3 linked regions of the Caenorhabditis elegans genome follow. The protein of the gene in region 3 interacts with the protein of the main gene of each other region in a pairwise test. Each region holds a gene or a part of one and is shown on either strand. Other genes may lie near its edges.

What was found.
Region 1: the proteins of fsn-1 (region 3) and skr-1 interact in binary tests that used the Caenorhabditis elegans proteins (3 or more experiments, as listed by UniProt).
Region 2: the proteins of fsn-1 (region 3) and rpm-1 come close enough for resonance energy transfer, tested with the Caenorhabditis elegans proteins (one study listed by BioGRID).

What each region holds. Positions count from the first base shown.
Region 1 is NC_003279.8:9,469,734-9,473,172, reverse strand, and holds skr-1 (Skp1-related protein), read right to left. Parts: upstream 1,624-3,439; 5' UTR 1,610-1,623; coding exon 1,529-1,609; intron 1,345-1,528; coding exon 1,069-1,344; intron 1,024-1,068; coding exon 850-1,023; 3' UTR 528-849; downstream 1-527. Other genes in the region: calm-1 (EF-hand domain-containing protein), read left to right, coding at 259-476; skr-2 (Skp1-related protein), read right to left, coding at 2,719-2,892, 2,938-3,207, 3,389-3,439. UniProt on the Caenorhabditis elegans protein: Probable essential component of SCF (SKP1-CUL1-F-box protein) E3 ubiquitin-protein ligase complexes, which mediate the ubiquitination and subsequent proteasomal degradation of target proteins.
Region 2 is NC_003283.11:8,816,929-8,821,857, forward strand, and holds the start of rpm-1 (E3 ubiquitin-protein ligase rpm-1), read right to left. Parts: upstream 3,028-4,929; coding exon 2,841-3,027; intron 2,773-2,840; coding exon 2,549-2,772; intron 2,108-2,548; coding exon 1,674-2,107; intron 1,536-1,673; coding exon 1,091-1,535; intron 945-1,090; coding exon 800-944; intron 749-799; coding exon 1-748.
Region 3 is NC_003281.10:4,935,469-4,939,991, reverse strand, and holds fsn-1 (F-box/SPRY domain-containing protein 1), read right to left. Parts: upstream 2,671-4,523; 5' UTR 2,632-2,670; coding exon 2,545-2,631; intron 2,406-2,544; coding exon 2,192-2,405; intron 2,143-2,191; coding exon 1,779-2,142; intron 1,727-1,778; coding exon 1,579-1,726; intron 1,040-1,578; coding exon 854-1,039; 3' UTR 539-853; downstream 1-538. Other genes in the region: rpb-2 (DNA-directed RNA polymerase II subunit RPB2), read right to left, coding at 1-212, 256-390; mrps-18C (Large ribosomal subunit protein uL3m), read right to left, coding at 2,922-3,260, 3,306-3,470, 3,584-3,711, 3,789-4,177, 4,224-4,414. UniProt on the Caenorhabditis elegans protein: Component of a SCF (SKP1-CUL1-F-box protein) E3 ubiquitin ligase complex which is required for the restriction and/or maturation of synapses in GABAergic neuromuscular junction (NMJ) presynaptic neurons.

The sequences.
Region 1 (3,439 bases), on a different chromosome or scaffold from region 3:
AACAATCCATAAAAGTTATATGGTTCTTATTACGTAGACGTCCATAGTTGCGAATTTTCACCACAATTTACGCGCAACGTCTCGCCATTCCGGCAACGGGTTACTGTAACTCGCGTAAATAAATTGTATTATATCATATTGTTATTTTAACAATCATGACATAAATTTTGCATTTATATCTGATAAAATTATATTGCAATAGCGGTCCTTAGAGGTCTGCGTAATAATATTTAATTTAGTATCAAAATATTGTTTTAGATTACGATGGAGATGAACTTCTTGGACATGATGATTTGAGTAAAATGATTCGAAGTTTAACAAGAGATGAGCTGAGTGATGTAGAAGTTGAATTTATAATTGAACGAATTATTGAAGAAGCTGATTTGGATGGAGACTCGAGTATAAACTTCGCAGAATTTGAACACGTTGTCTCTCGATCACCTGACTTCATTAGAACTTTTCATATCAGAATTTAAATACATTCACGGGTTATATTTTTTTCAATGTTTTACATAAATCGTTTGTTTTTTGTATCGTCTCATCAACTTTATTTTTAGGCATGTACAATCACGTAAAGGACACACTGATGTTCATTGGAGGAAATGTGTGAGAATCTCACACTGCATAATTTTTGCCGGTCGGTGATTTATAGGTATAAATATAGAATGGCGGTTAAAATTCAAAAGATGCATTTTAATTAGGTGAAAAAAGGAAGAAGTTTTTGGGCTGCCAGAGATGATGTAAAAAATAGACAGAGACCATATCAGGACAATGTGTGAAGTGTGAAGGGGAAGGAAGCGACATGTCGTTTAGAAATGTAATAGAGAAATAGGCAAACTGAAGGGTAATTTAATCCTCGCACCAGGCATTCTCTTTGCGGATTTGCTCTTCCTCTTCCGGGGTGAAGTCGTTCTTGATGTTGAAAGTGCGACGAATCTCTTCTGGAGATTTTCCCTTGATCATGTTAGCAACAGTCTTGCAGGTAACATCAAGAAGTCCCTTGATGTCCAAATAGTTGGCAGCCTAAAAATATGAATTTCAAATATTGGAACTAAAATAACAAGTTACCAAGATGAGCTCGAAAAGGGTTCCTTGGTCAACCTTAAGAAACTCGACGTCCCAGCTGCCTATGTCGTCAGTTCTTTTCTCGCGGTTATCGGAATCTTCAGTCGAGATAGGATCGGAGTGATGATGGTTGCACCAACTAATGACCTTCTTCAGAATCGAGGCAGTGACGTTTTGAACTGGAATTGGCTCAGCGTTGGTTCCTTCTTCGTCGTCGAGTCCAAGATCCATCAGGAGAGTGTTGATAGTGTTTGAGAGACGGATCACATTGCGTGGGACCTGGAAGTTTAGTTTGTGAATTTTCAAATATAGTGGAACATTTAACATTGTCTATTTTTCTATAAGTCAGATCACCTAGGATACCAAGAAGCAAAACTCTACGCGCGCATGCATGCAGCACGGCTTATCGATTTAGTTTTTTTAGACAAAAATAACGAAAACGAAGGAATAATTTGAATCTTACCAAGAAGATTTCGTTATCCGAAGACGATATCTTGATTTCGCGTTCCTTTGCCGCCTCGGATACTTTCTTTTGATCAGCCATCGCGTTGAAATCGATTGAAATTGAGAAATTATTGTGAAAAGAACGATTACATACAAATAATAAAGAAGAACAGGTAGAAAAAAAAAAGAACGATTAAGAGTATTTCCATCGAGAAAAATTAAAAGTTTTAAATTTTCCAACGCAAAATACCTGCAAAACAAAGAAAAACAACGAAAAATAGAATGAGAACGTTGAGAAATGAGCGAATAGAATGTGAGTGTGTCGTATGATGCGAGAGAAGCGAGGAAACAGTGTAGAGAAGCGAGGAAACAGTGTACACACAAAGGAAGAGACGCAGAGTTATCGATCGTTATAGAACGCAATGCGGGAACGAATTGACAAATATGACAATTTATTGGATGGACAAAGTCTTTAAAAAAATACTAGAAAGATAATGGAGGAACGGTATATTTACTAAATTTCGAGTTGCAGATATTCAGAGATAATGTTTTTTAATTATATAAAATTAAAAAGAGAGCGGACGGCGTACATAATATAGTCTTTTCAGCGAATATCGGCACTCGATTTTTGATAGATAGAAAAAGGAGAATATCAGGAAAAAAAAAATGAAAGAAATGGAAAAAATAGATCTCGTTTTAAAGATATCGCAACTTTCAGTTAAATGCGGGGATTTAGCAGCGTCAGGCGCAATATGCGATAAAGTCATGTAAATACATTACTTGAATAACCCCATTCGCAATTAATCACAGAAAGTAATTTTCATTCACACGATCCGTAGCTTTTAAAACTGAGAAAAGTATTGTTTTTTTATTTATTTCGAAATCTACGCGCGCGGAAAACGAAGCAACTTTGGCCTAGAATTTCACATCTCGTCATCTTCCATTTCAAAAGTGAAGGATCTATAGTCCTGTTCAGACTAAAAAATACTATTGCTGTGGCTTTAAAACCAATTGCATTGTTTGCAATTTTCATGTTCACATCAACTTTATTGAATGAAAAACAGAACTGTACACAGTTGTGTCAGCTGGCAGTGAAGAAATTTGTTAACAATTAAAAAGTGCGTTTAATAAGGGGAAAGATATGGTGGATGATGTGAAACATTTAGAAAACAAGGTAATTGAAAGTTTAACAGGGGAAAAGATGGAGATTTAATCATCGCACCAGGCGTTTTCCTTACGGATTTGCTCTCTCTCCTCTGCAGTGAAGTCGTCCTTGATGTTGAAAGCACGACGAATTTCATCTGGAGATTTTCCCTTGATCATGTTGGCGACAGACTGGCAGGCGACATCAAGAAGTCCTTTGATGTCCAAATAGTTGGCAGCCTGAAAATAGGAATTTAAAATATTGCAACTAAAATAACAAGTTACCAAAATGAGCTCGAAAAGGGTTCCTTGGTCAATATCGAGAAATTTTTTGTCCCAGTCTTGGATGGAACCATCCGTTTTCTTCTCACTGTCTTCAGTTGGAATTGGGTCGGACTGGTGTTTGGTGCACCAGTTGATAACCTTCTTCAAAATCGAGGCAGTGACGTTTTGCACTGGAATTGGCTCAGCGTTGGTTCCTTCATCGTCGTCGAGCCCGAGGTCCACAAGAAGAGTGTTGAGAGTGTTTGAGAGACGGATCACATTGCGTGGGACCTGGAAGTTCAGATTGCAATTTTTCCCATGCCATCTAGCGTACAGTGCCGCTTTTTTTGTTGATTTATTAAAAATCAACTAGGCTACTAAACATTTTCTATAAGAACTGCGAAAGCGTCTTATCGACCCGAAGCCTAGTTTTTCAGATAAAAATGACAATAACAAACGAATTTCAGCTTACCAAGAAGATTTCATCATCCGAAGACGAGATCTTGATTTCGCGGTTCTTTGC
Region 2 (4,929 bases), on a different chromosome or scaffold from region 3:
ACCTCTCCACATGGTCTGCAAAGTCCACATCGAAGGCATGTTGACTCTCCAACACCGCAATGACACATGGTTCCCTTTGGTCGAGGAACTCTTCCACATGCTACTCCTCGTGCGGAGCAAAGCCCGCATTGAGCACATACCGAGGGTGTGTCAGTTAGCCACGTGTGTTCTCCGATAGGACAAATCTGATACTCTTGACGACCGGAATGTCTTGGAGAAGACGTGGTTGAAGTTGATTCAACTCTTCCACATTGATTCATATTGTTCAATCCCCATGTAAAAAGATGGCCATTTCGAGTCACAGCAACACCGTGAGATTTTCCAAGCGCTAATGAAGAAATCATCACATTATCCAGTCCATTTAACATTTGACTTGAAACATTCACTCTCATTGTATGAAGTCCTCCCATGAAAATCTTTCCATTTTCAGATACATATCCATAGACATGACCAGAGGCGCAAACATGAACAATTTTCCGGCGATTAGATGGAACAAGTCGACGTAGTCTTCCATTTCTTTTCTTATCGTCTACACTTGCAATCCAACCATGCCCTGCACCAGAACGAAACATTATTGTATCAATTCCAACAGAAATTTGAACTATTGGCTCGGGAAGACACAGTTCCATCCAGTTGTTCCCAGTTTCAAATAATCCGAACCTTGTCCCGTTTCCAGCGTAGTACACTTTTCCAGAGCGAGCTTGAATGAATGCCATTTCTCGAGTGAAGTGAAGATCAACAGTTTGAGCTGAAAATTGATATGTTCAAATTTCCATGTAAACAAAACTACTATTCTTACGATGAAGGTTTGCAGGTAGAAATTCGGGGAGTTGGTGAGGAACTTGAAGATCTCCTTGAATCGTGAACTTCACATCAGTGAGTCGATGACTTCTTCGTGATGATGGCTCATTGGAAGGGGAAAATGAATCATTTAGTTGAATTGTCTGAAATATGTTATTTATAAACTTTTTTGAGCTGTCATGTTATGTGTTTTTATTTCTAACAATAAGTAGAATTTTCACGATTAAAAGTGTTTAAAAATAGTTTCAATTAAATATCTTAATTTTTAATTTGAGAGAATAAATCCTACCGATAGTGTAGAATTGGCAATCAGAGTTGCACTGTAAAAGTATGTTCCATCCGTGAACAGTGCATGTTGTACACAACTTGGTGGTAGAATCACTTCTCCAATATCCAACAATGAATCCGTGTCAATCACTGATATGCATGATGAGTAATTTCTTCGTAAATACAATGATCCATTGCATAAATACATTTGCACATTTTTCGACGATTGTAAACTCTGATTCGCTGCATACAACTTTCCAGAAATTGTTTCATTCAGGCCGGTCCCCAACTTGTAGAGTCCAACATAATTAAGAATGTAGAGAAATGTTCCATCACATGCCATTGTGCTATGTATTCGATTGTCATCGTCGGGAGTGTCGGAAGACGGAGAGCTATCAGGAAGACTAGGTAGACTGAAACTGCTTGCTACCGAGTGCTCGTGAACATCTACCATTGCCCAGTTTGGTCTGAAATTTTGCATTTAATAAAATACTAATAAAACTATCATGGGATTTTGCAAGCTTCTAAGAAATTCTACTAAAAGAAGAAATTTGTGAACACAATACTACATATTTGAATACTTTCAACTTGAATAAAATACTCACGGGGAATTGGCAGTGTTGTCTCCGCCTAAAGCTTTCCTCCTCACTTTCAGTAGTAATTTTCTCAAATTTTCTGGCATTTGGATCATATCATACGTCGAATCGGCGCTCATTCGAATATTTTTCTTCATACAAATTAATGATCGAATTGTGCTTCCTAAATGCTCCGGCTCTCCACATGCAACTGATAAAGCCACAAGGCATGAGGTAGCTTTTGAGCTCACTGAGGGACAGGCATCTTCTCGAAGCGTTTTCAGAACGTGCATCATTGCAGACATTGATAAACGGTTTTCGGACTGAAGACAATCGATTGGCATCGATTGGATCAATGATAACAATGATTCGAGAGCTTGAACACAAAGTTCGGCGTCACGTCGACTTAATTGCTCGAGAACTTCGAAGATACATGTTAAACTAGCTCCAACCAGCTGATCAGTCTGAAAATTCATGAGAGCTGAACCATTTTTCACCTTTTAAAACAGTTTTTAATAAGAAAAAGTATTTCACACACGGGTTCCAAAAAGTTGTAGAGTTATATGTTCAGTTCCATTTTGAAATTTATGGTAATTTAGTATTCCAAAATTGTTTTATTACTCACCGGTTCAATTTCAAATAATTATTTTTCAAACCATATTCTATTTTTAGCGTTTAAAAAGGAAACAATTTTGAATCTAGCTGGGGGGATATCGTCAATGTGTAAAACACGGTTTCATAATTGTTTTTTCTGGTTTCCTTGCCGACCTATGTCCCAGTTTTGCAAGCTTCTTAACTACGTTTCGAAAAAAAATTTAGAAAAAATTTGGCTGTTGACTTTGAAACTTAATTAGAAATTTCAATGTATTTTTCATTTAATACTTTTTAACATTATAAAAACTCACATTTTTGTATTGCTTTCCCTCTTCATCAGCTCCACTGGTTCCGGCTTCCTCTTCGCTTCCATCTTCTTTTTCAGAAACTTCTTCTGGATTCCCAAACCGTGCAAGAATTGATTTGGCAATTGCTACTAAAGCAAAAGGCGAAGGTGGTCCCACAACAAATTTTGAGTTCAGAATATCATGAAAATTAATTTGTTGTTGCTGGTCCAGAGGTGTTTTGGATTTCTCTGAAATTAAAAATTATTTTTATTTTTATTATTTTATACTTCTCCAAACTACAAAAAAATATACTAACCTTCTTCTTTATCGAGTTTCCCGCAATGTGCTGGAACCCTGAGAATATCCGGTTTGCATGTGTTCTCGGCACATTTGTATAGCAATTTTCTCAGTCTTCGTGCACTTTTCCTATCTTCAGGAATCGACGTTTCGGTGCTCGTGGAACACACTCGTTCACCATCAATTTCTCGCAAGAAGAACGACATTTGGATATTCTTTGGAAAGTTAATAAAATTGGTTAAATATTGTGGATAGATTGATTCTCATCATTAGTGATCTGAAAAATTTAACTGTGGCATTTAGAAAAAAAAATAACAGAGAAACTCTGAGGCGTCAATTTCTCTGCAATTATGTGCATTCAGGAAATATGAGGAAAATTGAAGGAAAAGAAAACCATGAAACAATAACTAAATTTTAAGATCACAGGCTTAGTATATGCGCAGATGTGATTTTGAACGTAGCGCCAGTGGGATTTTTCTTGATTTTTTTAAGATTTGAAAGAAAATTGCAATAATTTAACATTTATCCTTACTTTTTGTCACAAAATATTTGAAAGTTTGACAAAAAAAAGGTTCGAATCATATCGCAGCTTTAAAAAATGAAGAAAATCGGATGAAGTTAGCAGGAAAGCGAAATTACTTTGATCGCTTATTCAAGAATAATTTAGGTACGATAATCCAACTCCAATTGAAGAAATTTTTTTTGAATTTTCAATTATCGTAAATATTATAGGCGTTTGAATGAAAATTACCCAAATTACAAGAAAAGAGGAAAAAGGGAAAATTGTGAAAGATTTTTGTTCACCAAGGAATAAAAAAGTATAAAGCCGAGCAAAAGCAATATTGACAGACTTTACTGTTTTCCGTTCGCTCACAAACCACGTGCCTATCCCTTGTTCTGTCCGATCACAAAACGATATTTCTCCGAGACAAAAACGTTTTTTTTAAATAAATGAACAAAATCTAGAACTCCGGGAAATTAAGTTTCCTGTCCGAATCATTTTGCTGATCTGCGAAAATCGAGGGACATTCATAGAAGAGACGAAGAGAAGAAGGTCCCACCCCCCGTAAAAGGGTATGCGCCCGTTTTGTTGAGAAAGGAAGAGAAGTGAGAGAGACACAGAAAGTGAGATGAAACCAAAACGGAGAAAAGAGAACGAGACATAGTGTTGTCTTTGTTGGAGACAGACTCGCTTGTAATGGACAGCCGGTCAGACATGAGAAATAGGACGCAAGGAGATGGAAACGGAGAGCAAGGGACGGGTGTCCCTAGATGGACGAAGAAGAAGGGCTCCGTGCGTGTATTTGTGTGTGTATCTGTGAGAAGTGTCGAAAAGCGGAGATGAGGACAGAAGAAGGAGAAAATTGGGTGTGGGTCCGGAAAAAAGGGAAAAAGATTTGAAATTAGATATGCCAGCTTGGAGAAGCTTTTGTTATTTCTTGAGAGGTATCCAAATCAGATTGTTTTTTTTTGCTGTGGGATATCTGAACAATATTCTAAAATACGGTATGTATTAAGTACCTTAAAATTTACCTGTTATAAGAGTTTGATGGCAGTGTTATTAACAATCTGAAATATAAATATGTATACTGAAATAGAAAAGTTGTTTTCAGCTATTCGAAAATAGACGTAGGTACATAAATAAATCTTGGATTAAGAAAGGTGTAAACAGTGACGTATGTGATTAATCGTATAAGCACCAAATTTTATCAAGTTTTTTTAAAACTTTATTGCAGCAAATTATTTTATTAATGTGGCGTATCCAAAACTATTAAAATTGAATACTTTTGATCTAGTGTTATGTCTTTCAATGTTGTCAACTGCTGAAACATCTGATATTCATCAAGAGTGTCTATACTGATCTATTTTGTTAAATATAATTTATTAAAAATTTCTGAAAATAATTGAGACTCTTGAAAAAATCCATTTAAAACAATCAAAATAGTTCAAAAAGTTCACATATTTTTATTGTTATAAAAATATAATAAAATTGCAATGTTTATCGAAAAAATGAAATTTCATAATTATTTAAACAATCCAAATTGTATAAACAGAAGGCACTCAATAAGTTCACATATGACTGAAAATTATGAAAAACTGGATACATG
Region 3 (4,523 bases):
ATTGGCATTGGTGCTCCGTCTTTCTCCCAGTGAGTTGGTTTCGAGAGGTAAATTTGATTGAATTTCAATGAGAATTTCGCAGGATTTTCCATATCTGTGCCAAGATGCTGATTTTCTGATTGAAGTTCGACTGGCGGAGAATCCTCAACAATTCGCTGCACATTCATTTGGACGAATTCATCGAAGGAATCAAGTTGTTGACGAACGAGACCCTTCAAAAAAGAGATTCTTTCATGATTTTATAATCAAAAATACCTTTTCATCGAAATAAGCACTGATAACAACCCAACATGCTTCTTGCCATGCTTCTGCACTGATTTCATCCGAATCATCGATATAGTCTCCGTCCATCGGGTCATTAACCATCTCATCCTCATCATCGTACATCATTTTTGCCGGCGACGTACAGTGATTCTGATATGAGGCTGAAAAAGTTGATGATTAGGAAAAAAGAATTCAAGAAAAACTATAGGTATTTAGCGGATTTTTACAAAGAAAAAACCGAATAAACAATTTAAAAAGCATATAATATTATTATAAAGCGACGAAAAAGCTTCATTGAGAAATGGACCAATTATCACGAAGTGACTAGAAAAGCTCGATAAGCAATAAAAGAGATCAATATGGGAATGAGAAAGTGTGTGAGAGGAAAGCGTGCGGGAAAAAGATCTATTATGAGTGTTTTAATTACAGGTAAAGTTTAATATCAGAATTAAATAATTTTCATATTTTTCTGAAAATTATAATAACAGTAGAAATATGAGACAAGCGATGAAAACATGTGAATAATTACATTTTGAGTGGCGAATAAATACGCGCGCAGAAGTCAGAATATACGCTCTAGCGAACGTCTTCAACCCATTTGTGGACTTCCAACATACACCATTGTCACTTCTGTGTTGCCATAAACCGCACAGACAGCCGGATAGAGACGTAATGGGGGAATATGGTTGAATGCGATTCCGAGAAATTCCGAGTTTCGTTCAAAGTAAGCGACATGGGTGTCACAGTCGATTATTAGGCGGATTTTATCGCCGACCTGGAAAAAGGATTATTTCAGTTTTTAACTAATTAGTTTATTCGAAGATTTTAAACCATTATTTCAAAATATAATTTTTCAGGAAGTTAAATATTAAAAAAAAAAAACAACAAAAAAACTTGTTCTAAATTTTTAAAATTTCACTTTGTTAAAAAATATAATTTTTCTTTTCTGTACAGTTTTAGTGAATGGAAAATAATTGTTTCAATTTATCGAAGTTTGAATATTGTGAATTCTAGCCGAGGAAATAAAAAAAATGGTTTGAATTTCTAGCACTTTTCACAATGCAGATATACAGAAAAAGTTAATTATTGGAAATTTCTCGACAACTCAAAAAAAACTCGTCATGCGATTTTACCATGACGTTCATGTTTCTTAAATTGTTAGAGATGAAAAATTGAACTTTTTCACATATTAAACAACTTTATAAAACAAGAACGTCGTATTTTGTAAAATTGTGGCCCAATACCGTTGTTTCGTCCTAGAACGAAATATATTTGCTTGCATCGGCTTATAACTGAATTTTTTTAGTGAAATACCTCATATTTCGGAGGATTGTTCATTTTTGGATAAACACCAAGCTGTGCTCCATTGTGCATCAAAACATTATCTACAAGATTCCATCCCCATGATTGATCATCTGATCCGAGGAGAGCAACATAGCCAACACAGTGAAGAGCAGCATGTCTGAAAATGTTAAAGATATATCTTTAAATTTTCAAATAAATTAACTACTCACTTAGTAGCAATACCAACAACGGCTACAGTTCCCAACGGTCCATCCCAAGTTATATCAAATGCGTGTACTCCTTTTGAAATCCCTCGTTTTCCACGGACACCGTCTGTTGACTGAGCAACTGGCTGCCGGTGAACAGTGAAACCGTTGGTACGGATGTAGTTATTTCTTGAAATATCGCTCGTATTCCAGGCAAAATACCAGGCTCTCAGCTTCTTTTTTGCAGATCCCAGCTCGGCGAGCAGGAAGGGATCGGAAACTGCTGCTTCTGGAAGCTTCTTGCCAAGAAGGTACTGCCATATGTCACTGTCTTCCATTGAAAGAGCGTTATTCCAACTATGACAGGTTAGCATTGCAGATCGTAGGTCTGAAAACAGAGCCATGTAACTTCAAGGGGGAAAATGTTATATGTTTACCTTTCAATGGTAAATACTGAAAAATCTGATTCAGTACTTTCAGAGGAAGTCTAGAAGCTGACACTTCCGGGCGTCGTGGAGAACGTCGTCGTCTTGGGGGAATGCTATGCGGAGTCAATTGTTTTGGTGATTCATCTGGGGTTCCTGATGATGGATTCCCTTCGTCATCACATTCCACCATTGAAGTTTTTCGTTCTTTCGGGCTTTCCACTTGCTGAAAATTTAATATATTTCCCTTTTTTATTATTTTATAGCTTGTTTTCATAAACAATTTTTTAAAAATATTGTCTAGCTTTGAAGTTTGAAAAATTCAAGTTTCAAAAACAGTATTTTGAAAAAAGAAAGCAACTCACTTCCAACCCACTACTTTTCATAGGCGTTGAGGCCGTCAAATTGCACTGTTCGTCTGGAACAATCGTTTCCCCGTCGTTTTCAGCCATACTTCTCGATTAACCAGCTCACCACAGTCTTGTCATTCGCTTCAAATTGAGAATCCAAGTTTCAGAATGCATAATGTTAAGAAATAAAGTAAATCTCGGTAAACGACCGGTTTGGAAAAAAATCAACAAATAATTGAATATAAACTCTGCTTTTTGGTATTCAGAACAAACAAAAACAATGCAAAACAATGAAAAATCTATAAATCTACGGAACAAAAATTCTAATAAACCGAATTTCGACAAAAAACGATAAAGGAAAACCGTAATATATCATAAAATTAGATACACCATTACTTTTTAACTTTTGCAATCTTAGCTTTCGTTTTATCTCTTCCAGTGGCCTTCTTGGCGTCGGCATCAGTGAATAAAATGGATGGAGATGTGAAACGGAACAGTTTGGGCGAGAATTTTTCGTTGAAAAGAAGATTTTTGGGAATTGTGCCTTCTTCGGGTTCTGTCTCCGGTTCTTCTTCGATGGTTTCTAGTGATGGAGCCCATGTTGGCATTGGGCCGGATTTCAGACGTTTTTCTTCTTGTAAGCAATCTTTAAGTAGAATTGTTTCTCCAATATCACCAGGTACACTTCCTTTCACATAAATTACTTGTTTATCTACATTGATTCGAACAATCTTAAATAAATGAATTGAAAATTAAAATCGAGAGCAATTTCTTACTTCCAAACCAGAAACAGTCCTCCACTCATAACCCATATGTCCCGGCATACGTTTTCCTGGCCAAATTCGAGCATCGCCGACTGAACCAACGGAACCAATTCTACGATGTGATTTTGTGGTACGTCTTGTCGGTTGTCCACGCATTCCCCATCGATGCATTCCACCCTGAAAACGACTAGTTTCGAAAATATTTCGCAAGGGTTGAGAGATTATTTTGCTCCTTGGCTTGCAAGGGAAATTTTGGAAGTTTTAGACTATTGTAAATTGAAAAAAATTACCTGGAATCCCCAGTCAATAGTTTTTCCAGTAGCAGTTACATATTGACCAACTCCGAAGTGACGGGCATCAAGTGGCTGTCCAGCACTGGGGAGAGCGTCTTCTGTTACCAGGAAACATCCGAGTTTCTCTGAATTTATTTTTTTAACCATGAATTTACGGTGAAGGACTATCGAAAAGCGGAGCAAAACACAAAAAAAACCCAACCTTTCACTGGAATTCCTGCGCGAACAAATTGCCTACGGTACCCAAGCGTGTATTTTGTTGGATCATCATTTCCGGCACCCACTGTAACTCTCCACATAGGACCGTGACGATTGAAAGCCTTTCTTTTTCCGACGGCTGACGATTTATACCAAGCCTCTGGTGATGTAATACTGACAACATGATTTTCATCAACTTCAAGCACAGTGCACAGAATTCGGTTTCCTTCATTTGTCCATTGTGGGAGCATTCCGATTTTGCGGACAACCAGACCCACACGTCTTGATGAATCTGGAATGTCAACAACTGAGACATTGGTTTCTTGAGAATTTTGAAATGCAATGGTGGACGCCGCAAGAGTTTCTTTCTCAATTACGGTTTCAAGCAGATTTCTGAACAAAAACGTTTGCTAAACAGGTAAGAATTAATGCAACTTACTTTGTCCCCTGGCTAATACCCACACTGCTTTTCGGCACACTCTCTTTGACTGGCGGAAGCCATGGAGCTGGGGTCAATGTTCTTCTGCGACCTCTCTGCTGACTGATATGTCCACTGAAGGCCATTAGAATTCTCCCGGCCCATTCTGGAGTCGGACCCGTCGTCACACTGGATACCAGTGAACGGAGCATCTGTAATTAAGATTAAATATTAGTGAGATATAATTGATCATGAAATTCTAGAATAAAAATGAAGAAAATATCATCAGAAACTCCGCATGGAAATAAAAATGCGAGATAC